Linked DNA regions of Astyanax mexicanus. The protein of the gene in region 2 interacts with the protein of the main gene of each other region in a pairwise test. Links are inferred from orthologs where the notes say so. Each region holds a gene or a part of one and is shown on either strand. Other genes may lie near its edges. The genes, in order: blk, stat3, cytoplasmic tyrosine-protein kinase BMX and sri.

The links.
Region 1: the proteins of stat3 (region 2) and blk interact in binary tests that used the Homo sapiens proteins (3 or more experiments, as listed by UniProt). The link is inferred for Astyanax mexicanus from reciprocal best matches to the Homo sapiens genes STAT3 and BLK.
Region 3: the proteins of stat3 (region 2) and cytoplasmic tyrosine-protein kinase BMX interact in binary tests that used the Homo sapiens proteins (3 or more experiments, as listed by UniProt). The link is inferred for Astyanax mexicanus from reciprocal best matches to the Homo sapiens genes STAT3 and BMX.
Region 4: the proteins of stat3 (region 2) and sri interact in binary tests that used the Homo sapiens proteins (3 or more experiments, as listed by UniProt). The link is inferred for Astyanax mexicanus from reciprocal best matches to the Homo sapiens genes STAT3 and SRI.

What each region holds. Positions count from the first base shown.
Region 1 is NC_064408.1:70,998,066-71,005,540, forward strand, and holds the start of blk (tyrosine-protein kinase Blk), read right to left. Parts: upstream 3,017-7,475; 5' UTR 1,118-3,016; intron 531-1,117; 5' UTR 401-530; intron 177-400; 5' UTR 176-176; coding exon 92-175; intron 1-91. UniProt on the Homo sapiens protein: Non-receptor tyrosine kinase involved in B-lymphocyte development, differentiation and signaling. B-cell receptor (BCR) signaling requires a tight regulation of several protein tyrosine kinases and phosphatases, and associated coreceptors.
Region 2 is NC_064426.1:26,731,823-26,738,774, forward strand, and holds the start of stat3 (signal transducer and activator of transcription 3), read right to left. Parts: upstream 3,002-6,952; 5' UTR 2,792-3,001; intron 1-2,791. UniProt on the Homo sapiens protein: Signal transducer and transcription activator that mediates cellular responses to interleukins, KITLG/SCF, LEP and other growth factors. Once activated, recruits coactivators, such as NCOA1 or MED1, to the promoter region of the target gene.
Region 3 is NC_064430.1:16,756,686-16,764,003, forward strand, and holds the start of cytoplasmic tyrosine-protein kinase BMX, read left to right. Parts: upstream 1-4,295; 5' UTR 4,296-4,374; intron 4,375-4,783; 5' UTR 4,784-4,791; coding exon 4,792-4,932; intron 4,933-6,800; coding exon 6,801-6,905; intron 6,906-7,318. Other genes in the region: uncharacterized protein zgc:113276, read right to left, coding at 1-38. UniProt on the Homo sapiens protein: Non-receptor tyrosine kinase that plays central but diverse modulatory roles in various signaling processes involved in the regulation of actin reorganization, cell migration, cell proliferation and survival, cell adhesion, and apoptosis.
Region 4 is NC_064411.1:40,018,463-40,026,078, reverse strand, and holds the start of sri (sorcin), read left to right. Parts: upstream 1-4,592; 5' UTR 4,593-4,737; coding exon 4,738-4,782; intron 4,783-7,616. Other genes in the region: uncharacterized protein LOC103031164, read right to left, coding at 22-336, 1,832-1,997. UniProt on the Homo sapiens protein: Calcium-binding protein that modulates excitation-contraction coupling in the heart. Contributes to calcium homeostasis in the heart sarcoplasmic reticulum. Modulates the activity of RYR2 calcium channels.

The DNA.
Region 1 (7,475 bases), on a different chromosome or scaffold from region 2:
TTAAACTTTTTTTAAATACATGTACAGCAATAAATGTTTCTTTGTTGTCTAATACATTTGCTTTTTTGAACCAGCAGTTAGGAATACGTACGTGTGATTTGTTGTTGGCTGCCGAATTATTGTTTAGATGTCCCTTTTCTTTATGTTTCTTCTGACCACTGCAAGTACAGCCCATTCTTAAAAATTCAGAAAAAGAGAAAGGCGTACAGTTTTAGGTATTTCTTAAAGCTGCAATTCTATGGATCATTTTCCCAGACAGGGATTATGACTAGGCTTAAATCCTGTCCGGATAAACTGACCCTATAGCATCTTATCCATCTCATGCAGACCTAGGCTAGCCATACTTCAGTACATTAAAATCTAATTTTAAGGTTTTAGATTTTAAAGCAGTTCATCTTACCTGCCAGCTCACACCCGATCTTTAATGCTTAATGTCAGTCTCCACTCCCGTCAGCACGCAGCTCTGTAGTCCATATGAGCATCTGCACTCATAATGAGGTCTAAGCATGAGGATAAGCTCCAGTCAAACTCTTCACAATGAAACATAACACAAAGCTTAAGGCAAAGTTTAAATCAAAAAGCAAAGTAACTAAAATGGGACATCAGAAGAAACATTTTATAGAAATTAAAGAAACAAGAATAAAGAAAATCAATAGAGATAGTCAAAAAATGTGGAAATAATAACCAGCACCAATATTTAACACAAAGCCCTGGAGACTATTTATTATTATTTATTCTTTATTATATTATTAATTATTTTAATGATGTGTAGTCATATATCCATCTTGTGAATATAATGTACTGAATCTTAAACTTCATTATGACTCTGGCCCAGTAGCGCTATAATAAGGACCATAAAAAAAGATCTTTAAATAGCATGTTTCTGTGACTTTTGAGATTTAACATCCGGGACACTTAAATAAGGATATTACAAATATATATTTTTTTCTTATAAAGCATCACAAGAATTTCCCATAATTGACTTTTGACAAACACTAGAAACCTTACCTCTGGTACGTCTGAAAATGTCCAAATCATCAAATACCAGAATATCTGTTCTCATTTCAAAATATTGATTCTTGTTAAAACAAAAAATTAAATGTATTCAGGTACCTACCTACATCTTCTGCCGCCTTAAATTCGCTGTAAGTTAGAATCCAGTTCTGTCAGAGAATTCTTGAAGAGGTGAGGAACTTCTGTCTCTATTTTTTAACTTTCTGTTTATTTAGTTGTTTTTTTTTTCTCACTTGCTTACATGCACCCTTATGATCATCATCTGAAAAGCAGCTGAAGCCCACTGCGTGCTCTGGGAGACCACATTAGTGGAATTAGATAAATGCAGAGCAGTTGTTGTGTTTATTTAGTCTGCTTATCCCCTCCCTTTCCTCTTCACCAGAGCTCAATTCACAAACTCTGCTGCTTCTTCACTCAGCTTTTACATCACACTCAAAGACAAAATACAGAACAGAGAAAATACAAAAGACACATTTAAAACTAAACTAGAGAAACCAATTGTAATGTGTAAAGCAATCATTTTAACATTTTATAATTGATAACAACATAATATTTGGTTTGATTGGAGTATATCTTTTGGCCATCTGTGGAACTCCTTGAGGGAGTAGCTTTCCGGAATTCTAAAGGAGTTATACAGCGTATTTAGTTCTCTTGGTGTGGCTAATAAACTTCCCTAACCTTAACCCTAATCCTACACAGATCTACTTTTAGATCATACATTGACCACGACTACGGGTCATGATTTATAGCTGATGAATTAATCAGTTGTTCATAAGCCTCTTTTTCACAGTCCACTCTGTGTGAAGGAGTGTGAAAGACATGAAGATAAAAGCAAGTTGTTTTTAGTGAGACCACTTCAGTAGCTCTTAAAATACACTGCATCACAGGATGTGACTTAGCTCACAGATATATATTTCCTGCTTTGACCGATGTGGTTTTCTTCTTTTAGTTACAGTACATTTGCTGATATGTTTATCCTATACTAAAATACCTTCATTTACCCCTAGTATGTTCTAAATTGTAAATATATTTTTTTTAGAAACAGGGTTTAAATATGTTTATGTGTTGTTTAAATGTGCAATTATTACAAACATTATATAGAAAATAATTGAGAAAAATTATTCCCAGCGAGCAAAAGTGGATCTAATTTGTTAGGATTGCCCTCTCTCTCCCCTGTCATTTTTTTATACCGTATTTTTCGCATTATAAGTCGCACTTAAAACCCTATAATTTTCTCAAAAATCGTCAGTGCGTCTTAAAATCTGGTGCACCTTATGTGTGAATTCTACCAGGTATGTTGTAAGGAGCAGTAAAGTTGACTTTACTGCTCCTTACAACATACCTGGTAGAATTGCATTACAGCTTTATACGGGAGTTTCAGTTTAGTTCTCCAGCAGTGTTAGCATTAGCTGCTAATCGCGCTAAGTGCTAGCTTTTTGGCCGTTCAGAGGTATTGTTGGCCTACATTAGCCACTTACCATGGCTAGCACTAATGGTTAGCTGTTAATGCTAATGCTGCTGCACTCAGCTATAGTAGAAATCTGGAAATTTAATCTTACTGTAGATAAATGAAAGCACTTTACTCACCTAAATAAACATTTTTCAGGAGAGAAATCTATGTAGATTAACATTCCCTGCTAGCACTAGCGGTTAGCTGCTAATGCTAATGCTGCTGCACCCAGCTATAGTGAAAATTTGGAAATCTAAGCTTACTGTAAATAAAGGGAAGCGCTTTACTCACATAAATAAACAGTCTGAATGTATGTAATTAGACCAGAAACTAGACGTTTATTGATAGTGCGCCTTATAATCCAGTGCGCCTTATAGCGCAAAAAAATAAGGTAATGATAAACAGTGCAGCCTGTTAATGGACCCTCCATTGCAGCAGTTCTCTAAGATGTGATGGCTCACATCATATAACTCAGTTCATGCTAGCCTTCCATCTTTTAAATATGATATGACTTCCCGTTGTCTTTAAAGACCAGAGATGGCAAGTGAGGAAGTATATGCACTTCATTACTGTACTCAGGTAAATTTTTTAATATGATATATTAAATAAATTATTTCACTTAACTTGTTTTACTTCTAACCTTACTTCCTACATCAGACATTTAGATATCTCAGACAATCTGCTGTTTTCAATGAGACACTCACAGAGGTCAACATTTCAACAGTTTTTTAAACAACTGTATCTTCACAACCAGTAAATAACTGAAAACCAACACAGTTAAGCACACTGTAAAAATAACTGTACATTTACAGTAAGTATCAGTTTTTTAATAAAATAAAGGTAAAGTCTTTTTTGTGTGCGTGAATAAGCCCATTCGGCTCTCCTTTTTCACACACTCTGAGACAGCTAGACAGTGAGCTGCAAATGTGAATCTCTGTGGTAAAAATTAGTTTAAATATAGTTATATAGTTAGCTAGCTAGCTTAGCATAGCTACGTATACCAGTAGGTATAAACAATAGCTAATTGTCCAGCTCATTTTTTAACTAGTAGATAAAGTTCGGGTATGCTTTGAACAGACCCTAAAACTTGAAAATTTACCGTTTTAATGAGGAAAACAATAACAAAGCTACTGAGCATGTCTGTTCCGACGCTTCCGGTGGCGCTATTTTCAAGTATATAGCTGTCAAAATGAGAGCGCATATTTCGCAAATCTCCCGAAAACAGAGCAAACATATGGTCAGAAATTAGTAAAAAGTGAAAAGGGAAAAAAGGGAAGTTTTTTTCCTCTGATTTAAAACGCTTCCCAGATGTGATCACTACCTTGTTGAAAATGACGCAGTGAAAGCGCACCGCAGTTTGGGAGCATATAATTACTTTCTCAGTGGAAAAAAATATTTGTTCCTGTAGTAGAGAAAGCATCACTATAGTGTATGGTGAGGTTGGAGCAAGTCAAACGCTATCCAAAACGTACTCTGCATGGTTTATAGATAAGAAGGTGGGAGAAGTTGTGAGCGGACACTGTAACTGCAGGCAGGTCAGCAGTGTGAAAAACAAAAGCAGACGTGTTTACTATGGAGGACCAAAAATGACATAAGTATAAATAAATAAATGTTTAAATAAAAAAATGAATAAATAAATAAATGTTGACATAGATAAATGCACATATAAATGAATAAATAAATATAAAAATAAGAAATGTATTTATTAATTAATTTATTTACCTATACAATTATTTGTGCACGTATTTATTTATTTATATATATTTATTTATTTATACATTTATATGTGCATTTCTATATATATTTATTAATTTCAACATTAATTTATTTATTCATTTATTTGTTTACATATGTATACATTTATATGTGTATTTATTTATACTTATGTAATTTTTGGTCCTCCATAGTTTACTTGTTCAAAGAACAATTTGACCTAATTTTCAATGTTTGTGACTCTCAGATTAGGTAAAGTTTGCATTCATGTTAAATTAAAAAGTTACGTCCACTGTTTTGAACGCTGTTTACCGCTGAACGGAAGTGTCCTAGGAACAGCGACGTCACTTCCTACGCTCATGAATATTCCTCCGGTCTATTTTCATCTTTTCTAATTAACATCACATTAGTTGTGTGGGTGATCACCGTGCAGTTAGCTACTTAGCTTGCTAGCTGTCTAACCACCAAGCAGTTAACTGAGCTGAGCTATACATCTACAGTGTGTGTTCAATTTTATAATTAGCTGTTTAATACAACTTTATGTAAAGTATACTGCAGTATACATGTATTAGATATGTCTCAGTAGTGGCAGGAAACATTTAAAATATTAAAAATAATGAACGAAATTATATTTGAAAAAGGGGGTTTTCCAACCTATGTGGGGTTCTGTTTTATGTATACATTCGTTTTCCCAGTAATGCATGTTTTGTTTTCAACAAAATATCCTCTTTTGTTACATTCTGTTTCTAGAATTATTTATATATATATATATATATATATATATATATATATATATATATATATATATATATATATATATATAATAATTTGTAAGTACATTTTGGAGCTGTAATTATACAAAAGTAAAACATATAATGTATTTATGAGTTTTTACGAAAGCGTAGAACTTCCATATGTAGTAGTTCTATTCCATATGTGTTCCTTTATCATTTTTAAGTCTTTAATCAACAAAGCAAACATTTTTTACACATTTTTCATTGTTCCAGGATAAACTGAAAGAAGCAATGTTCTTGCAAGAACAAAACAAAATCATTGGTGGGATCAGAACCTACCTGAAATCATTGTGCAGGGCAGAAACACCTCCTAACAGGACACCAGTCCATCACAGGGTTCCACACAAACGCAGACTGTGTTTTTGGAAGGTAGGGGGAAACCCAAAGTACCTAGAGAGAACCCACACAGACACATGGGAAACATAGCAACTTTCCTGTCTATCTTTGATGTCTTGTAAGATGTATGTTAAAATACAAAATAAGGGAGGGATCTAAGGTCTGCCTTAGGGAACCAAACTGAGTTATGAATTTACACATGCTCTAAATAAAAAAGTCTGAAAAGTCTGAAAAGCTTTAATGATTCAGGACATGGTTGGGTGAAAACATGTACAGGTTCTAATGCCCCCTACAGGATGTAAATGGAAGTAAATGTTTCTTCTGGACACTTTGGCTGTTTAATGTTACAGTTCTCATACCAAACCATTTTGCAAAATTAACAGAATTCAGAATCAGTAGAGCTTAAGTGAATTTTAAGTTGATTCTATAGAACAATAAATTGAGCAGTGACTCTATTGGGATGTGATAGTTCTAAAAGTAAAAAAATAAAAAATACACTCAGTTAACTAGGTATTCCCCCACCCCTACACGTTAGAGTTTTGAAAAGCACAACAAAGCCATTAATCACCAATTTCAGTCTTCCAGTGCTGTGTATTGTATACATAATATGAGGGGCATTGCAAGCCAAGCACATTCATGCACTACTAACATTACTTGGTGTTTATAATTAACTAATAATTTGCAAATAAAAGTGTACAACATTCTAGAACTATACAAAATATAACTGATTGGGTTTTTTTTGTATTCATATGGGCAAACAAGACAAGTGTATTGAAAGTGTAAAAGGCAGCTGTTTCCTCCGGTTTGGTTAGCAGTAGAAAGAAACAGCACACACACAGAGTTTGCTTTGTTTCTGTGGTCGTTATTGTGGTGTGCATCTAAAAAGCGAGCTGTTTCATACCGACCAAAGCTATCTGGGGTACCTGTGCACCACTTGATTGCATGTGTTTTATTGTACTGTTTAGAATATGTTGTGTCTGTCTAGCAACTAGACATACAGCTACAGTCAGAAGTTCACACATACTCATCACTCATCATGTCATGGCAGTCATGAGCTTAAAATAATTTTGGAACTGTTCGCACACCTTTAATAAAAAATCTAGAAACTATCACACTTTTCAAAACCCAATGTAATTCAAAGTGTCTCCCAGGTAATTAATTAAGTCTTGCTGAAAGTTTTTTGTAAAAACTTTTGAAATTCTTTTGTGTTGAACTCATGATTGACTACAGCTGGTCCAGAAACAAAGGGTTTATATGACAGCATTGATTGTACGAGTAAGAAATGTATCATACAAACACTTCTAAACAACTATTGTCTCATTGCATGACAATTAGTTCAACTTATTGTTCTGTCTCGCAATGTTTTTGTGGGGGGTGTAGCCACTCTACTGTAACCTGTTACCCTCAGTTAAGAGGGAATTGCATTTACAGGGCAAGCCACAGGTCTGTTCAGGCTTCTGAAAAAAAAATTAACTGTTTACAGTCAAATTACAAGTCATTATAGACTAAGAAATTGCTGTCCCAAAAAATCAGCCCTTCCTTCAGCAAAGACATCTTTAAGCTTATGTTTACCACCAATCACATGGGCACATAAAAAGACATCATATGGAGGAAAGTGTTTGGTGGAGTAATAGGTAAAATATTAAACCACAAGTGTGTGGTGGTGGTAGCTGTCATGAATGAGAGGAATGGAGAGGATGGACGTAAGTGCAGATAAATAATTGTATTTATTAAATAAACAAGAAAAATAAATACAGAAAACAAAACACGGGTAACGCTAAAAACTTATGAAAAACTTACAAAAAAAACAAGACTAGGATAAGGATTAAACTTAGACAAATGCAAGGAAACTAATTAAACTAGAAACTCTAACTTTAAACAAAGATTAACTAGAAAATACAAAACAACTGACCAAGATTCTAAGTAACACAAAACACAACCTCTACTCACGAATATACAGTCACATAGATACAAAAGACTCCACAAGGCAACACTCATACAAGAGGCTATTTATACACAAGGAGGGTGAAGACAGGTAATGAGGGGGCGGGGTTACAAACAAGACACAAGGTGACAACACTAATGGCTAGGGCTGGGCTAGGGCGGGGCTAGGGTGGAGACAGAACAATAACAAAACAATGCCATGTGCTCAAAAAAGCACATGGCTG
Region 2 (6,952 bases):
GAAGTGTAGAAGCTGAATGTGCTTTATTTTTAAGTTTAATTTATTTTCATTGAGTTGTTCTGTTCATGTACATTTTTTTACATTAACTGTAAAAAACACGCTTAATCCGGAATAATTGCAAATTTTATGTGGTCCACACAAATAAGCAATTCAAGAATACGCATTATTACACACACGATCAGCCATCAATATTATGATAAGAGTTGTTATTATTAAAATAAAAGATAAGTATGTTGCGGAGTAATATATGGAGTGCTTAAGTTACGGTGCATTACCGGCTGATAATGTCGCTTATAAAACGCCTCTCAGCCAATCAAATTGCAGGGTCAGAACTAACTGTGGTATAGGTTAATAAAGGATATTTTAAACAGAAAATAAGGTGGCCAGTAATAATTATCTTTCTAAATATGAATGATTAATTTTAATAATTCCTTCTAATTATGCAGGTTTTGCTACTGTCGGGTGTCTAAGTAAACAAAAAAATATAAATTATTTTAAAAGCCCTATCCGGACGAGTTTAATTTCTCAGGGGGTCCTGGTGTAATTTTCTATTTTATGGGGGGTCCTCTGTGATTTTATTCCCATCTGGAACGACCACGTATGTGTTTTTCTCAGACGTCCTCTGAAAAAATTACATGCAGCATTACCTACTGTTTTTTGCTAAACTTTGCGGTCAACCAGTAATTTTAGTCTGTTCGGATGCACATCTTTGAATTTCATCACCTCAGGTTTAATGAAATAGCTATTTGTCCACTGTCACCTGCCATAATTACATGTTGGTGTGCCCGTTTTCATGGAAATAAGCGTAAACACAAGCAAAAAACACACTGGTCCACCTGTTTTTTCAATTGCAGTCCTGATGCAAGGGTTTTATCACTGAGTATAAGTGTGAAATATTTTTCAGAGACCCCCCCCTGCGAAACTAATCCTGTCCGACCTGGTCGCGAGGTCAAAGTTGAACCGTGTTGAACTTTGACCGCGGAAAGAGTTAAGCACAGTGGAGGCGTGGTTTATGGGCGTGGAAACGCACCGCTCTCTGCACTGCTCCTACAGCTGGAGAAACTAATGAATCCGATGGGGGTCAGCGTACAGCGGCGCGGCTACGGCGTGCAGTGTGAAAGCACCTCCTCTCTCTCTCACTCACACACACACACACACACACACTGTTCACAGCAGGCAGTGTTCAGAAACGAAACGAGAGGATTCCCTCCATCAGTATACTGGAAGCCGTGACGTCACGGTAGACAGGGACAGCCCCAAAGGAGGTGAAAAATAAAGTGATTTCAAACAGATTTTAGTGTCTCATTTTTGTGAATGTGATGTGCTGCTTATACAACGTAAATACAAAAACACAGCATATAAATTCCATCAAATTAAGAAGATGTAGCTCTAGCTACCATTACAGTTCGCTGCCTTCTTTTTTGGACCAGCCTCTGTTGAGTATATATTTGAGTATATTTTTAAGTGTTCATATTGTTTTAGGATAAGGAACGGCTGCTGATCGGTGCCTGGATGGGACATTCCCCCAACCCCCCCCCCCCCCCCCACCCGCTAAATGTAACGGTTTTGAAAAGCGTAGATTGAGCCTGCGGTTATTCTCATGCTCTCTCTTTCTCTCTTACTCTCTCTCTCTTTCCCCCCTATATCACTTGGTTTATCTCGCTTTCTCTCTCTGTACACCTCTTTTTCCCTGTGTCACTTTGTGTGTACCTCTCTCTATATCTCTCTTTCCCTGTATTACTCTCTGTATCTCTCTTTTTCTTTCCCTGTATCACTCTGTTTATCTCTCCCTCTCTCTCTCTCTTTTCCCTGCATCACTCTGTATCTCTCTCTCTCTCTCTCTCTCTCTCTCTCTCTCTCTCTCTCACACAAACACACACACACACACAGAGATATATTGGACATATTTGCACATGGAGTAACACCATAAAGATGCATTTAGGAGTTGAACACTGCTTTAGTATTTTTACCTTAGTTGTCGTCTATTTACAACAAAAAACAAACATTTCACATTAATTATTTTAAAGAATAATAATAGAATGACCAAAACAAACAAACACACACATACACATTTATAATGTGTCATAGACGCATCATAGACGGGATGATGCCTTACTTAGTGGTAAAGGTAAACAAACAAATAAATAAATAATAGATACTAATCCAAATAATGTATAGTATATATATATATATATATATATATACATATATATATATACATATATATATGTATATATATATATACATATATATATGTATATATATATATATATATATGTATATATATATATATACATATATATATATATATATATATACATATATATATATATATATATAGATAGATAGAGAGAGAGAGAGAGAGAGAGAGAGAGAGAGAGAGAGAGAGAGAGAGAGAGAGAATTATTTGGATATATCACATTCATCCAATCAGACATAAATTATATGTATAATGTAAGGGCCAAAGTAATATAGACGACACACACAGCTATGTTTCACGGTATACACACATACACACACACGCGCACACACACACATGCAGGAGCATCGTGTTCTCAGAACTACACAGCCCAACATCAACCAACTTTCAGATCAGTTATTCTGTATCTGTGGGTTTGAGTCTGAGTCCCCCAGCGCACATTAGTCCACTTATTAAAAATAAAACGTGTATCTATCTATCTGTATTTCACTGACAAAGAATAGTCAGCTAAATAAAAATTGAAAAATTCAAACTGGCTCGTTTCTTGGATGCCTTCCTTAGCTAACCTAGGTTAGTTAACTACTGACTTACCCTCTGTATCCGTGCTTCGCAAATTCAGAAAAAAGGGTGGCAAAAGTCTTCGACCCGCCGATGAGTGAATTAGGCAACCAAAACTGCTTCCAAAGCGTGTAAATATCGAATAAAACGCTATACCAGACTCCCTCAACGACCACTCTTATCCTAACTTTATGGAAACAGCCTGAAAAATGTAAGTCCAGAGAGGTCTGGCTTGAAGGAGGGGCGGGGCGGCTGTAACTTCGCAGTGATTGACAGCGCGTATGACGAATCGCGTTGCACATCCAGAATTTTGTCCAATCGTGACGCAGAAACAGCACCATAAAGGCGGGCTCTGCCGCCAGCGGGTTTGTGCGAGCCAGTTGTTTATTGGTCTGGGTTGGTTGACCCACACGACTTCATTTCCTCCCTCCGGGCTGTCGTTGGCGTACGTGTGCAGCGGAGGGGGCAGCGCTCGCGTTCCTGGAACAGCCCGGCTGGAAGTCATCTGAATTACTGGCAGCGGCGACGTCATCACGGCTTCAATACAGCGAAAGCGAGGTGTTGATATTGATAGGGGGATCGTGACGTTTATCCTCCTGATCAATCCCGCTCCAGCACGACTCTACACCACAGAGCCCTTCAGGAATAGTGTAGTAATAAAGCAGAGACGAAACTATACGAGATTTACTGTATAAAACCTCTACTTTTAAAACGCTTCATTACTTTCACTTTTAAACATTTAACCCATTTATGCCCAAATTTTTCCCAGACATGCAAATATGCAAATCATGTGTTATTAGTAACCCTTTGAAATAATCAAGAATTATTTCCTCCAAAAAAATGAGAAAAGTAGATGAAAAAGTGTGTTTTATTACCGGTCACAATTGTGACCGGTGGGATGATATGCGTATTCTCAATGAAAGGTTGCTCAAATAGTTTTTTTGTTGAAATAAGGGCCTTCTGACAGCAATCACTGAAACAGAATACTTGATCAGGAACTTGGGACTTTCCACACCATAGGAACACTAAGACCCGTGGCAAAATATGTTCAAAATATGTTAACCTTGTTTAATTATTTCAAATACAAATTGCAACAGCATCACTTTAGTGTAACATGTATTGAAACATTTATTTGTAAACATTTTAAATTGTACTTTACTGCAAATCTTTTAATGTTGGTGTAATATTTTAGTACAACATTTACAACTAAATGTAAATTACAGTCAAATACTTCATTCAAAACTTCAGGAATGATGTAAACTGTTGTGTATACTATTAGTAAACAGTGTTGGGCACGTTACTTTGAAAAAGTAATTAGTTATAGTTAGTAGTTACTTCTCCGAAAAGGAAACTGATTTACTAACTGAGTTACTCCACTATAAAAGTAACTGGTTACCAGTAAAAGTAACTACTGGGTTACTTTTGTTACTTGCCTCCGTAACCCCCCCCCCCTCCCCCCCCACCTCCCAGCCCCCAAAGACAACAGCAAAGACAACAATCATTGCTTAGGCGGTTATCTCATCCTCCCCTCCCTTGTAACTCACACACACAACACACACACACACACTTGCATATTTGTCTGTATGCGCAAAGTTAAAAAAAAATAGTTAATTGAGCGTCTAAATAACGTGCAGTAACGGGGTGTTGAAAATGATAACAGTAATTAGTTACTGATTACTCCTTACTGAACACCGTTATTCCCTAATTTAACAAAAAATTGATAATAGGCAGGTATACAGTAACGAGGTAGGCACCTGAGCGAAGTGCTTGATTCTGTTCAACAATCAGTCAGACATTGTATTACAGTAACTTAGAAAATAAAGTAACCAGATATGGTAGTCCATATCTGACCCATCACTATCACAATAACTTATAATAGCATCTTTCTCATTTTGAGGTATGATAGCAACGTTGCATGCCTAAAATTAGTCATCCTAAAATAAAAATATATATAGGTAAGATGCAACAAGAAATTTGTTTGTATATTTAGTATGTGTGCATCTAGATACAACATTCTATCCCACCGGTCACAATTGTGACTGTTTACATGTTTACTCATTCTGCAAACACACCAAAGACATTTGACTAATTACGAATGCATATATCATAACTAAACAACTTCGAGAGCATGTGTACAAAAATATTTGTTTCTATGTTTATTTTAACATACTTTACCAGCCTTTTATTTGGGAGCTTTGAGGCAGCCATCCTCTTCTCAAGATGCAACCAGGAAGTAAACAGCTCTGGTCATGTGACAATTTACTCAAAACATTTGATACTGTCCACATTTAATTGAAACATTGTAATATTTCAATATTTCCTTATAGAGTATTGGGAAATTAACCAGTAACATTTTTAGAGGCTAATAATTAAAAAACATTTTTTGGTCACAATTGTGACCGATGGGTTGAAATGGGTTAATACAGGGGATGCAAGGGGACTCCGCCACTCCCCCAGCTTCCCTCCCTCTATGTATTAAACACAAAGCAAAACCACAACATTCCACCCTGTTTTGATTAATATCAATATGGTAAATCACAGTAATTAATATATTATACCGTTTTCTTTTTACATATGGCTCTTGAAAAAAACACTTAAAAATGACGAGTTTCTTTGATTTTACCGAATTAAAAACTTCTGGAATATAATCAAGAGAAAGATGGACAATCACAAGCCATCAAACCAAGCTGATCTGCCTGAATTTCTGCACCAGAAGTCCAGGCATAAAGTTATCCAAAAGCAGTGTGTAAGACTAGTGGAGGAGAACATGCCAAGGTGCATTATGCATTTATGCAAGGTGCATAAAAAGTTATTCCACCAAATATTGATTTCTGAACTCTTAAAACTTTATGAATATGAACTTGTTTTCTTTACGTTATTTAAGGTCTGAAAGCATCTTTTATTCATTTTCTGCAAATAAATGCTCTAAATGACAATACTTTTTATTTGAGAGAAATGTTGTACGTAGTTTATAGAATAAAACAACAATGCTAGTTTTACTCAAACATTTACTTATCGAAAGTTAAATCAGAGAAACTGAAGTGGTCTTGTACGTTCTTCCAGGAATGTATACTTGTGCATCTCAAAAAATTTGAAAATAATTGAAAAGTGAATTTCTGTAAAACTTATATTTTTCAAGTGTTTATTTAATTTGATTATGATTATGGCTCACAGCCTATTAAAACACAATACAATAATCAGTATCTCAGAAAGTTTAAATATCATATAAGTCCAATTGGTACATTTGGCATTGTGGGCAGTGTACCAAGTCCTGCTGGAAAATGAAATCTGTGTCTCCATTAAAAAGTGCTATATGATTTTCCATGAGAACACTGCACTTACTTTGGACTTGATATAACACAGTGGACCAACACCAGCAGATGACATGTCTCTCCAAACCATCACTGACCATCAGTAGAGGAAGAGTGGAGAGACACACAGTCCAAGCTGCTTGAGGTCTGGTGTGAAGTTTCAGCAAACAGTGAACTTTCCACACCTTTTAAAGGGTCTGTGACACATACGTCACCAACTCAAAGAGCACATATTTTGCAAAACAAGACTTTTTGCATTCCTCTGTATTTCCACCTAGGTCTCAACTGCCACTAAAAAAACCCATCCATCCATTTTCTGTGAGTCAGTTAAAAGAGTTTCATATGCTTCTAGGGCCTGTGCATAGAACCACCCTGGCAGCACCTGTCAGCAGAGTGGGGAGATTTTGCACTGGATTTGGGTCAAGGTCATGGTGGTCAAGCACTGAAGTAATGCTGGTTACAATGGTTGATGAGTTTGGCCATGCTGATCATCAGGGTGGAATTGCTGTTTGAACAGTTTTGGTCAGCCAGCGAGGTCTTACTGGTTATGCTCATCAACCAGTTTGGTCATATTGGTCAGCCAGTAGGTGCTGAATGAGTAACATTGCCTATCATAGAAATGTAAATGAAAATGATTTATAGACTAAATATAGAAGAGTAATTTAGGGTTCAGATATATAGATCAGGATCTGTTCACAGTGTACAAAGACCAGAGTCCAGCACAGTTTGGTGACTTCCCATGTCAAACACACTTGATTCAATTGCGCTGTGCTGACATCTGGGCGTCTATGACTGGGACTGATGCCAATCTATAATCCCTGTCCCCCAGTCCCTCAGGAAAAGAACTGCTGACCCCTGCTCTATAGATCAGTCATTTGAATCC
Region 3 (7,318 bases), on a different chromosome or scaffold from region 2:
GCATGAGGACCTCCTCCCACTATCAAAACATCCAGCATCTCAAAGAGAGGGAGACATAATACATCATTTATTAGAAAATCAGCTAAAGCAAATGTTGGCAACATTATATCTTAGAATACACTCTTTCATAGGTGTAACTTATAGGTCTAGCTAATACTTTTAAATGTATTGCTGTATTACAGAATGCTAGGGGTGTACAGATGTGGGCTTTTTGACAAAAGTTCGTGCTCCCCACTTCACACCGGAGTTCTCCTTTAATCCACTTTCTCTTCACTCTGCCATGCAGTGCCATGCATGACCACTGAGTAACAGACTGGCTGTATATGCTGTGGTGGCTTCAGAAGGACAGTAACACAGTATTTCTGTACTTTATTACTCAGAACCAACAACACATTACTGTCATTATCAGCAGTCTTCATTTCTGCTGCAATCGTTCACACAGTGCTCTCTATGTTGGTTTTGTCTGATGCTTTTCCATTCTGTAAGCTGATGCTGCACGCTGTCAATGAGCCACTGTCCACTGTTTAAACTGACGTGAGATAAAATACACCATGTTGTGCCATTGGTCAGCCAGTGTGCTGATATTAAAGCCTAATACATTCTAGACTAATACATTCTAGACTAATACATTCAGTAAGATTAATGTTATAGAAGGACAAAAGATATATATAAAAAAAATGGGCGATTCTAGGATCTAACACTGGATAGTGGATGATTGTGAGTAGAGGTTAGAACGGGCCCAAAAAATCCGACCCGACCCAGCCTGAGCCCGTGCACATTTTGCCTGAGCCCGACCTGACCCAAACCATAAACTATCATTATGAGTCCGAGCCTGACCCGACCCGCCCGACCCATAAACTGGCTGTTTTCGGGCTGTTTGAATGAGCGAAATATGATCAAAATTATGTTAAATAACACTGTAACATAGAAGCATAGAACTATTATTTAATTAAAATGATTTTTAAGAACAGCTACACACAGTGCTGCAAGTCAAATGCGAAGGAGTTCACGTGAGAGAGAGAGATTTGCGTGTTCTGGTGTAAAGGTTCTCACATACTGTATCTCCTGTTTCTCTTTTATCTCCTCGTGCTCATATTCTAGTCCCATACATAATTCTCTCAGTGTTTTCTGTCGTATTTTGCTATTTTGCTGTTGTGCCGAATCAGACTCCCTGCTGAATCTGACTCCCGCTTCGCGGACAGAATCGGCACAACACCCCCCTCTGTACAACTGCGGGAGTGAAAACAGCACTTAAAAATAAATTAGTTATTTCACTTTCAGTTTTTGTTATTTGGTTCGTTTTCGTTAACAATAATAATTGGTTACTTAGCAACATTGTGATTATCACACCAGAGCTTTATTTTAAAATAAAAATATAATTAAAAAACAGATGCCTACATCTCAGACTATTTTCTGGAGCCCGACCTGGCCCGAGGAATGTGGTGGTAAATCTCGGCCTGAACCGACCCAATTTCGGGTCGGGCCTCGAATCAGGTCGGGTTCGGGCAGACAATCTAAGCTCTAATTGTGAGCCTGCAGAATTAGCTCACTAAATTAATAACGTGTCATACAATAACAGCATAAATAGTCCTGTTTGATTTGTGCACACAGGCCTGTCACAATAATTACTTAATATACTGATCATACAGTATGTTTGTACAACCTCTATAATTTTATTTATCAATTTTACTTTATTTATGTCAGATTATTGAATTGTTCAAAATCCACACATTTTTGGTGACTTTAATATCCTATTGTATTATACTTGTTAAGGGAGAAGAGCACATTAATGTGCATGACCAGAATGTTCACTTTAAAAACTGTGGTTTCATTTTGTTTTTATTTGGAATATTAGAAATATGTTTTATGTCAGTCTAAATGTCTGAATATTCTTGAGAATAAAAAGTTCATTACTGCAATTGTAATTTTATGCAAGGAAATTATCATTATACCAGTGGCATGAAGCATCTAAAAATGACAATAAATATCATTTACGGCAATTATTTATGGAATAATATATCGTCCACACTAAAACTGTTATTGTGACAGGCCTGTGTGTGTGTGTGTCGAAGTGTGTGTGCGGTTGTGTGTGTGTGCGTGCATGCTCAGTGCACAACAGAGTGGAGAGAAAGCCTTTTGAAAAACCTTTTGCATGTTTAGTGGAAATTAGTATATTTAATTTCTAACATTTTTTTAGGTTTTAAGAGACAAACTTCCATTAAAAAACAACAAAAAATATTTATTTATTTTCACTTTTGGGGTGCTGGGACTCATATTTTAAAAGGGCTAGCTATGCCTATGATGGAAAATATATGATGCCCAACTCCTAAATCAGGCAGCATGGTCATAATCACTTATAACAGAAGCTTAAGTATAGCTTTAATGTATACAATTATTTATACCTCTTTCAATCACATCAAGATTCTTGATAATTAAGGTTTTCTCATTAATAGACATTGAACGATATTGTAACAATGCAATAAATGCAGAATTGAACTTCTTATCTTATTCCATTGTTTCTTAAGAGTATTAAACATACTTAAATATATCATAATGTACAGCTGGTTCAGACTGTAACATTTTTTCATGTGTAACTGTGTAACATATCTACACACATTAATGACTTTGCTGAAGGTTAAAAGAGGTTGTTCTGTACCTGGTTATTGAGATGTTTTCACAGTTTCCACCACAGCTCTGTCACAGGGGGCATTTGAAAACAGTGTGAGTCCTGTAACTCTATCTGTTCTGCGTTTTTACATTCATTGCACTATGATTGGCTCCCAAGGCTGAACGTCAGTGTTAAAAATACTCATGCCGCACAGCAGAGAGACCATTTAGCTCTTCACACAGACACACACGCACACACACAACAAACTCCAGTATAAGTGGAATTATCAACTCAAGCTTTTTACTCAAGTAAAAGTGTAAAAGTACTGGTTTCAAACCTACTTTAAGTATAAAAAGTAAAAGTAATGTAAGGGAATAATGCCATAAAGGACATTAATGCCACAGGAGCTGATAATGCATAGAAAGTACAGATAATTGTGTGTAAATGTAAGAAGTAGATATAAAAAAATATTATTTTTTTATTATAATTAAATTTATACTTCAGTAAGATAATGCAATATTTGGACTCCTGACTTAATTAACACTTCTGCATTATCTGTCACGATAACCGTTTTTGTTTAGACAACATTGTGTTCCAGACATAATTGCGATAAACAATGTCAACAGACAGTTCTTGTGGAAACAGGAGAGTCTGCCGTGATTTGAGCAGCCGTGGTTTTTATGTTTTTTGGATACAATCCGGGTTAGCACCCGAACATCCCTTTCAGACAGCTTCCTCTTGCATCCACAGTTAATCCTGTTGGATGTGGTTTGTTCTTCTTGGTGGTATGTTGACATTACCCTGGATACCATGGCTCTTGATGCATCACAAAGACTTGCTGTCTCGGTCACAGATTCGCCAGCAAGACGTGCACCAACAATTTGTCCTCTTTTGAACTCTGGTATGTAACTCATAATGTTGTGTGCTTTGCAATATTTTGAGCAGAACTGTGCTCTTACCCTGCTAATTGAACCTTCACACTCTGCTCTTACTGGTGCAATGTGCAATTAATGAAGATTGGCCACCAGGCTGCTCCAATTTAGCCATGAAACCTCCCACGTTAAAATGACAGGTGTTTCAGTTTCACTGTCCAACCCCTGTATAATGACAATGTAATTGATTCCATCCTAAAAATTACTCCAAACATAAAAACTAACAAGAATGAGTGCCAGTAACAGGAGTAAGTTCCAGTAACAGGAGTGAGTGCCAGTACCATGAGTGATTACCAGTAACAGGAATGAATGCCATTAACAGGAGTGATTTTTTTTTTTGTCATAAATATCAAATAATTGAACATGCAGGCTATCATTTCACATGAGTTTGGTAACGAACTTCAGTTTAGAAACCTTTTAAAAAATTAAGTAGCTTTCAGCTTTTAAGTAAAGCTGAGTTTGACCAGTGCATGTTTTGAATAGTTAAACACAGTTGTTATTAGATTCAGAGTTGGAAAAAAGATACAAAAAATAATTTTAATTTGGAAGAGTTGCAAGCATTTTTTTTTTCTTTTTTCTTTACTTAGCATACCTATGTATTCCTCTGATGGACCTGTGTAGGTATGTGGTTTCATACAAAGGAAGTTAGTGTTTGTTCTGAATAGTGTCAGGGTCATGCAAATACATTAAGCAAACAGTGCCCTGCTGCCACACAGAGGCCTTTGTGAAGCAGCACCTTCTTTTAACAGATATCAGGAAACTGCACCAGGCTTTTGCAGCTATAGTTTAATTCGGGACCCAAAAGGCCAGACGATCGTTTCTCAGCCGGCACAGGTATGATATTTACCGTTATAAAACCTTAATGTGATTTAATTTATTGTGAGACTTTATACCAATGATACACTGATGCTCCTAGTTGTGATAGTGGAAATATGCAGGGAATGTAAAACAGCAGTGTTTTCCTTTTTTCGTTTTTATTCTACTGAGCGTGGTGTTTTGTGTTAAGTATGGTCAATCGGGGGTTGTATACTGCTTAATACTGTTTTCTCAGGTTATGACAGTTAGAGGTAGAGGTGCACACAGCTGAAAGGATGTTGATGTTTTGCTTAATTGCACGTAATAAAGCAATCATTCTCTATGCTGCTATAAACATTGTTGTAAAGCACTCTAACAACAAAGTTTTATTAGTAGTGTGTCTTATTCTCTGTGTGTCTCTGTGTGATTCTCTGGTGCCTGTGTCCAGTTGTCCTGATGAGCGAAGAAGGGGTGGTTAAAGAAGGCATCCTGCTGAAGATGTCTCAGCAGAAGAAGAAAATCTCACCCAAAAACTATAAGGAGCGGCTCTTCATACTGACCAATAAGACTCTGAGTTACTACGAACATGAAAAGGGGGTATGGCTTTTCATTGCATTTTTTCAGGCTTATTAGTTCATAAATATAGAATAGGAAAGGAGCAGATTGTTGTTTACAGTTAAGCCCTTCAAGGCCTATTCACACTAAATCCCTACCTGGACAGGATTAGTTTCTCAGGGGGTCCTGAGGCAATTTTCTCTTTGTAGGTGGTTCGCTATGATTTTATACCCATCCGGAACGACCATGTATGTGTTTTTCTCAGACGTCCTCTAAGAAAATTACAGGCTGAATTATCTACTGTTTTTCGTTACGGTGTTTCATCAGCTTGCGTTTAATAAAATAGCTATTTGTTCACTGCCACGCACCATAATTACACTTTGGGCGTGCGTTTCCACGGAGAAAAAGCAAACACAAAAGCAAATGAAAATAGAGGAGCTACTGAAAACGATGTCATGTGACCGAGAAAGCCAAAAAACTCACAGGTCCTACAGTTTTTTCAATTGCAGTCTGGATGCTAAATTTGTAAAAGTAAAAGTGTGAAATATTTTTTTTCATAGACGTCCCCCAGAGGAAATAATCCCGTCCAGATAGGGCTTAAGTAAGGTTTTTATTCCTTAAGTAGGATTTTAATCCTATGGCATAGTGTTGCCTTACTCTATTAACCATACTCTATTTTTTATTTATTTATTATTTATTGAATTACTTATTTGTTGATTTGCTTGTCCGCTTATTTATTTGTCTTTAATATAACAGTACATGGCATATATACTACTTACTAATTCTACTAAATATCCACTACTAATTAAATAAATTACAAATAAAATGCTTCTCTGGTAAACTTTTGTTTACATTCCTCCCCTGACTTTCTGTTGTGCTCAGCGTGAGTTTCTGCTTGTTCTTGTTTTCCCGTCCATTCTAGGGCTCCCTATCTCCTTATAAGGGCGTATTTTCTTGGCCGTGTCCCAATTCACTAGCCGGGGCAGCGGTAGTGTATTGGACCTTAACCCTGACGACACGGGTTCAATCCCGTGTGAGGAGTATTGTGTTTATTTATTTATTTTTCCTTTCTTCTTTTTTTGTTTACCTGCTTTGAATTCAACCGTTCTGCAATTGGGTTCAACAACCCTCTGGGCTGGAGAGCTACTAGTCTGTAGCATTCCATCCTATTACACATCATACAAGCCATATAATGGCTTGGAAAATATCTGTCCAGTGGCCAAACTTAATTGCAGACCCCTGGCTAATGTTACAAGTAAAATGCTGACTATAATAAAGCAGGGATTAAATATATATTTCTGTTCCAGTTGATTTGGTTGGAAACAACACAAACCGACTTGTTATAAATGCTTTTTTATTTATTTTTTACTTCTGTCTTCCTGTTGCCAATTATTTTTCCAGTTACTACAAAACACATTAAGAAATAGTACATTTAATATAATAAAGAGATATTTTTATCCAGTAGATGTTTCAGTAGCATATACTTATCTGATATTTCCCAGATTTATTTATTAAAATTCCACCAATATCATTCCCACTGATAAATACAAACTCGTGGTGGAAATTATGTGCAATCATTTTCTAAAATGTTTCTGACATGACTTGAAAGCAGCATAAGCACAGCATAGCAAAAGGAAGATGTGGCAGGAAGACTTACAACTGTTCTGTTATTTGTTCCGCTGTCTGGTGTCATCAAGGAAAGGAGGGTTCTCCTTATGAGTTTTGGTTCCTTCTAAGGTTTTTCCCCTCTCAGTCTGAGGAAGAATTTAATTGCTACTTTATGCTTTATGCAGGGGGTAAGATAATATTTTTGAATTTAATGCATATGCATGAATATTTATTCAGACAAGCCTTTTTGTGTGTATTTTTTTTTTCAATGCATTATTGTGTGCTTTTTCTCATTGTTGCAGAAGCGGAAGGCAAAGAAGGGAGTGGTGGCAGCAGAGAAAATTTGCTGTGTGGAGATAGTTGAGCCTGAAGACAATGCACCTGCACAGAGAGAGTTTCCCTTTCAGGTTTTAGTCATTAACACACACATATTCACACTTACATGATTCCTTATAATTTGTGCATGAACAAAAATATGGTGTTAGTATATCATGATGCAACAGCGACTAATTATCTGGGCAATACACTAGGTTAGCCATTTAGCTCAAACCTGCAAACTATAGCTAATAGTTGGGTTAAATCGAAGTCTGATCACATTTCCAAAATTACAGGTTTAAGTTGATTTTTCACATATATATATATATATATATATAATGAGTTAGCTGAGCTGAGCTAGCTAACTAACTTAGCTAAGCTTTTGTTTATCAAAATATTGACTGCATTTCTCAGTGTAAACTAGTTCCGTGTGATTTAAGTAGCACGGCTGTGGTACACATATGATAAAAACTTGTATTGCTTAAGTAAATTCAAGGATTCAAGG
Region 4 (7,616 bases), on a different chromosome or scaffold from region 2:
ATACATCTACATAATACCCACCATTAAAACACTGAGGAGACACACATGGACACTGGTTGGTTGCCTCATTGCCCCATCTTGAATGAACAGTCCTGTATGGGCATAAACAGCCTTTATTCTGTTCTGACCCTTCATTCATTCTGTGATTTGTCGGAGGGCAAGACGACACTCCGTGAATGTGTTCTTGGTCATAGTCTGTTTGATGGGTCTGTTCCAACCAGACTTCGTGGTCTTCCAGCTCCTGTCCAATGTGGACCTCTTCAAAATCTTGATCAGCTACAGTCAAGCAGGAATCTGTCTCTATCTCAATATATTCGTGGGTGAGGTCAGTTTCACCTGAAGGACAAAAATAGTAATGAATAGTATGAACAGATTTTGTTTACAGATACGTTCTAAAGTAGACATTTCTTCCAAAAACCCATTAATGAAGTTTGCATGAAGATTTTGACATTCACTATTGTTTTCTTATTTGGGATTTGTGTATTGTACAAGGACAATGGTGTTTATCACTGTATGGTCAGAGTTGTGAACAATTTGGGCTTTTCTCAAGAACAAATCTAAGAAAATTCTTAGAAAGAAATGAGTAAATTGCCACTAATCTTCAACACTAAGTATAACACAGAAATCAATGGTACTAGTGGGGTAGATACTTGTATATAAGCAGACCTAATCAATTTATCTTATATTTAATGTCGTTTGCATCTTGCACTTTTGCTCTGTAGGTTGTTTATTGGCTGATTGCACCATCTACGGCAGTTTTATATACCCTACCAAAGTTTTATATACCCTTTGTATATCTATATATTTTTTCTATATATCTGTTTTTTTGGCTGTACTTATCTATTTGTGTTGTTTCAACATACTGGATACTGTGTCTATCCATCCATCCACCCATCCATTCAAAATACTGTAGCTACAACCTAAGGACAAAAGCACTTGAAAAATTCATTGCTTATTCATTGTTTCTTCTGAAATAAAGTGAATAAAAAAGAGTTTATCCTGTTTTTGTTGGAGTAACTGTCTCTACTGTCCAGACAAAGACCTTGGTAGGTTTCTCTAAGACCATTTTACATCAAACCGATGCTAAACTTTAAACGTCTTTACAAGTACAAGTATTCCATCATCACTACATTGCTTGGTTTTTTTCATATATTATATTCATATATTTCATGTATTACACTGATATATTTGTGGTTTTAGGAGGAAACGTGGGCGTGTGAGAGAGAGAGGGGATTAGGTGTGAAGGTGGCTGTTTCTGGATCTGTTACAGGATGACGTTATTCCACTGCCCATCTTTCTCTGTAGTGTGTGCCAGCAGGCCTGCTGTGATCGGGTATGGCACTCAGCTGCAGGCTTTCCGATCGCCTCGGAAAACAAGGCAACCTCAGACAGTTTCATATCCAGACCTCTAGGTTTCTAATAAGATTACCATCCACACTCATTTATTAACCTTTTAAACTGTAATTCTAATGCCAAGTATGTGGCCCAACACTTCAATGCCTTGCCCAATATCATATTCCCATTCATTCTTTAATCAGCAGGCTCTAAATTTCTTATTTACTTCTTAATTTTAATTCTGTGTTCCATTTGAACACAAGTGTCAGTATATCTAAGTGCACAATCACACAAAAACATATTTCATACCTTTGTGTGACTTCTTTCACACTACATTACATTTACCAACAAATTAAATGTCCTTCAAATGGTTATCCATACCAGAGAAGAAGCACTTTTGGTTTTGTGAAGATATGAGCCAACGATAACTAATACATACATAATAAAACAATAATAAATAATAAAGAAAAAAACACTAATATTTTTAAGTTCTTACCAGCATAATAGCACACTGTCGGTTGCTCATGCATCCATGAAGCACTGCTGTCCTCATTCTCCTGCTGTCCACAGCAATCATAGCCAAGTCCACCACAGCGTCTTCTCAAGCTATGCCTACAGACTGGTCTGTCTGACCACAACAAATAATGGTTTTGATGATACATATCAAAGTGTTACACACAGATTGATGATCTCTTGATGCTCCGTTCGCTTTAACCCAGCCAGCAGATTGTGGAAGGTAAGTGGGCAGAGCTGGGTGGGTCATTATAGATGACATTCCAAGCCACCCACCCCTTCTGTGACGAGACACGACATTCAGTTTCCTGCTCAAGTCGGATGTGATGCACCTCTTACTGCTCCCACTTAAACTGCTGTATAAAGAATGGTCAGCGGTGCAACATATGGCCATAAGATTCTATTATTAACAGCAAGATTTATTGGAATCATTCCAATCACTATTACATCATATGCATTCACTGGTCACTTTAATGGAAACACCTCCCATGTGCATCCGCTTTATGACCATTCTATTAGAAATATACCTTAGTGGTTCCACTCACTGGCCACTTTATTTGAAACATTAGCCTTCTACTCTACTTTCATGCACTGGCCACTTTATTAGAAGCCTTAACTTTAGTGCTTCCACTCACTGGCCACTTTATTAGAAACCTGAATTTTAGTGCTTGCACTCACTGGCTACTTTATTATAAACCTTAACTTTAGTGCATCCACTCACTGGCCACTTTATTAGAAACCTTAACTGTAGTGCTTTCACTCACTGGCCACTTTATTAGAAACCTTAACTTTAGTGCTTTCACTCACTGGCCACTTTATTAGAAACACTTTATTAAAAATCCCAACATTAGTCTTTCATTTACTGGCCATGTTATTACAAAACCATACCTTATAGTGATTTAGCTTTCTGTCCACCTTAATTTTAATTTGAATTTTAAACCTAAGTCCACACACTGGCCACATAATTAAAAGCCCATACCTCACAGTGCTTCCACTCACTAGCCACTTTAATGGAAACATCAGCCTTCTACTTCCAAGCACTGGCCACTTTATTAGAAACTTTAACTTTAGTGCTTCCACTCACTGGCCACTTTATTAGAAACCTTAACTTTAGTGCTTCCACTCACTGGCCAATTTATTAGAACCATCTACTTTAGAGAGCTTCACCTTTCTGGCCACTTTCTGTTTAGAATCCATAACTTTAGTGCTTCCACTCACTGGCCACTTTATTGGAAACCAATATTAATCATAGTGCTCTCCACTATGTGGTCAATGTTGTCTCTAAAAAGTGATTAGGGAAAGCACATCATCTTCATCACCAGCAGAGGGCAGCGTTTACATTCTGGAATAATCTGAACTACTGCACAACAAGCTCTAAGAGTTGGGCTCATCACAGCTTTTTCCATTGATAATGTGATTTAATTATCTTTTTAGGTCAATATTAAAATACAAGAACCTAAAATTTCTTATTATTTGAGATGAGTATCACCTCTCTTATTTTTACACTGCATTTTTTTAAATGTCAAAAAAAATATAAATAAGAAAATTAATATGTGGCAGGATTTATTATTTATTTATTATTAAGTCATATTTTAGATAAAATTACAAGCTAGTGAGTTCAGACATGTGAACTTGGTAAAGGCTAAAAAATTGGAGGGGTAGTTTGGGAGGGGCACAGTTACACAGTGTCACTATTATACAGTTGAACCTGAGAGTGCACTGCAGGGGCGGAAATTATAAAGGAAAGAAATTTTTCAGCTGGATTGATATGTTTCAATACTTCAAAGGAACACATTTCAGCTATTAATGGAAAAAAATATGTGTATGCTCTTTAAACCCATCTAGACAATGTGCAGATAATGTTAAATAATGGTTAATTAAAGTTTTTTTTCCTCGTCATCAACATTAAGCGACGTAATGCAACCAAAAAATAAATGTTTATTTAATGTTCTTGGTTGACAAGGTTTGACAATTACTACTTAGCTGACCTGCACATCTGCCGACCCACAGTTTTTACTGTTTTCTTGTTTTTTTAAATGATAATTCCATTTTCCTCTGGTGCATTTATATGTTTAAGTGTTACAGATGAAAAAAAATAAAACTAAAAAAATACAAGAAACAGTATCATTAGATTACTTTATATTTACCTTCTGGTTTTATTTAAATATCCTAGCCGCTGTTTAATTTAGGCAGTTTTTATCCATACACATCACATATATACAGCTCTGGAAAAAAATAAGAGACCATTTAAAAATGATGAGTTTCTTTGATTTTACCAAATTGAAAACTTTTAGAATATAATCAAGAGGAAGATGGATGATCCCAAACCATCAAACCAAGCTGAACTGCTTGAATGTTTGCGCCAGGAGTAGCATGTTATCCAAAAGCAGCGTGTTAGACTGGTGGAGGAGAACATGCCAAGATGCACAAAAACAGTTTTTTTTTTTTTTTTTATTTGCATTATTTGAGGTCTGGAAGCTCTGCATCTTGTTTTGTTATTTCAGTAATTTCTCATTTTCTGCAAATAAATGCTCTAAATGACAATATTTTTAGTTGGAATTTGGGAGAAATATTGTCCATAGTATAAAACAACAATTTTAATTTTACTCAAACATATACCTATAAAAACTGAAGTGGTCTCTTAATTTGTTCCAGAGCTGTAGTTTACACTGTGGTAGCACACATCGTCAGGATACCGGAAAACGGGTGGAATATGTAAATGACTGCTACCCGAAAACGGGGATATTTTATGAGCAGCAGGATCCTCCCATTGCGGAAGAGGGAGCGGCTTTAATGAGATAAAAGTGCGAGTTTTCAGTCGACTTTCACTTCAGACTCCCATCTGACCTCCTGAAGCCGCAGAAGAACAGTTTAAACTACGTTAAAATCATGAGTTACGGTTACGGAGCTGCACCCGGAGGACAGCCCGGAGGGGTGAGTGTTTTCCGGCTCTGATTAACCGGAGCAGCGCGGGGGAGGGGAGGGCTGCCGCGGCTCTGTTTTTGAAGAGTTGAAGGGTCTCGCTTCAGTTGCTCTGGAGCCAGATTTCAGTGTGAGCTGAGTGAGGGTCACACCCTCATCCTGCCTGACTGAGACTGAGCTAGCTTTAGCCTTTAGCTTTTAGCGTTTAATAAATAAAGCCATGACTGCAGAGAGCTTCACTTCCGTTACACTGTATTTGACCCGCAGAGCTGCAAAACCACAGTACTGTACCCTCTAGTGTCGATAATGTAGCTTAGCTTCATTATATTTGATAATGGGTGATGATGTTTTTACCTTTTTTAAAGATGTTTTAGCCGTTTACTGTGTGTTTACTGCTTGTTGGAGGGTTAATATCTCGGTCAGTGTTTCCACTGTTTTTTTCTGGCCTTAGTTTATTGGTTTCTCTGGACTAATTAGGATAAAATGCTATAAATCTGTTGAAATGGCCTACACAATGTAAGCCACAATGAATAGGTTGAATTACTTAAATTATTTGAGAACTGGTTGCCTTAACATTTTTAAATGTTTCTTTAAAACTTGAGTTAATTTGACTAAAAAAACAAACAAAAAAAATAGTCATAATGCCTTAATTGTAAGTTAATTTAATTAATATGCTGTCATATCAATTGATTTGCATAATAATTCTACTTTAATTGTTATGGTCAGATGAATAAAAATGTTTATTTAATCCTCTCTTCATTTAATTTAAGTAAAATACAGATAAAAAAATAGCTCTATGGTAGCTACACTGTAAATCCACAATTAGTTTGAACAAATTAACTGTGCTTAATGTAAAATTTGATATTTCCAAACATCATTACTCAACTATTAAAAATAAGGTGAGCAGTTCATATACATTTTAAATGTAGTCCTTTGAGTTGATTCAACTTATAAGAACTGAGTTTAGTCGGTTGCGACAAACTATTTGCATTCTGGGTGTGTCTTCAGGTTTCTGACACTCACCGTCAGTGTATAGTCGCCCCCCCCTCCCCCCAGGGCTACCTTTTGGTAAACTTGTAGTTTATACATTATGATTAAAAAGTGAATGGGTTTTTTATTCCCATTACTTAATGTGAGAAAACCAGTTGGAAATAATATCAAATTTAACAGAAAACAGACCTAAGTTTAAGTTCTAAATAACTGTGGGTTTACAGTTTAGAGTACCAGTCAAACTTAATATTGAAGGCATTAAAGCAATGCAGGAACACTTGTGGAATTATTTTGTAACAGTAAGTGTTGAAATTTGATAATATCCTAATGCTTAGGAAACCGGTTATACATGTCAGTGAACTAATACAGCCTGAGAAAAGCAGTTAAAAGCTTTTTTGCTTCTTTATTTGTTAAGTAGTTTTTCAATTATGTAGCAATTAAAAAGTGAAACCACGTGCTTAATTTAGATGTTAATTTTAACATTGGCCAGATTCAAAATGTCAAAAAGTGAAAAACTGCAGAAATAGAGACAGTGTTTTTATTTTTAATTTAGTATTGAAGGACATTCGGGGTCTAAGAGGTTAAACCCCTTTGGAACTACTTGTGGTTTCTGACTTTTTTATTTACCCCACTGGTATTACTATGGAACAAATGCAATGCAACTCCAATGCACTGGAATTACGTTAAACCAGCAGTTCTTGTTCATTAACTTGTATTGAATGTACTCTTTCACATGCTTTGTGCAATTACACACTCTCACAAGAGCACCCTAAAAAGTGATTTTGTATTTCACCAGAATAACTAATATTATCAAGCTGAGTGAACTTACCGGCCAGCGAAATTCAAAAAAATACACTCAGAACTTTAACCTGAAAACTTAAAAATGATTGTTGAGCCAATGAAAAAATGTGATTTCATCCAACTTTTAGTATACTACACGTGTCAATGCATTTTCATCAGTGTTTGTTCATACAGCTTTCCCATAAGGCTCCTGGCACCATATATTTGCATATTGGGTGTGGCCTCTCACTTGCTTACCATCTTTGTGTTGTCTGTTGCCCAAAGCTAATATTCTTAATCTCATAATCCCCTAAATTTACAGACTGTTGTGTTAAAAATTGACTATTGAAATATACAGTATATAAATGTTGAAACATTACACTGACCCTCTTTTTTGTTTGGGTGTATGTTCTCCACACATTTCCCAACACAGTACCACAGGTTCCCAATTGGCTCAAAATTTGGCGATTGCATTGACCATGACATCTCCTGAACTTCCTCACGCCATTATTTGATAAGCAGTGTGGAATTTCTCTTTGACTGGTTGTTGTATCGATTCATTGTTTGTAGTTCTCCACTAGGGTTGTCACGATACCAAAATTTTGACTTCGATACCGATACCAACTGTAGTATCACGATTCTCGATACCAAAACGATACTTGGAAGAAAAAAAAACAATAAAAATATCTGAACATAAAATGTTTATTTTTGACTGAACTGGATTGAACACTGAACAATCGGTGCAAACGTTTTTATTCTAAAATGAAACATTTGTACAAAAAACAAGTTTCGTTATTATAACCTTAACTATAACAATTATCTAAACACTTCCTAAAAACTAAAACTAAAACCAGAGGTAATGGTAGCCTGACTATGTGAACCTGACGGGCGGGCAGAAGTTAAGTTCTGAATAAGGAAAATAAAGAGACAGAAGAACATTACAATGTTATGTTCATTTTAACACTCACTGCTCCGTTTTATTAATCAACCGGTTACCGTTTTTAATAAGCCCATGTTCAGTGTAACGAGCAAGCAGGCTACGTGCCTGACCACAGATTTGCGATGGAAACGCGAAA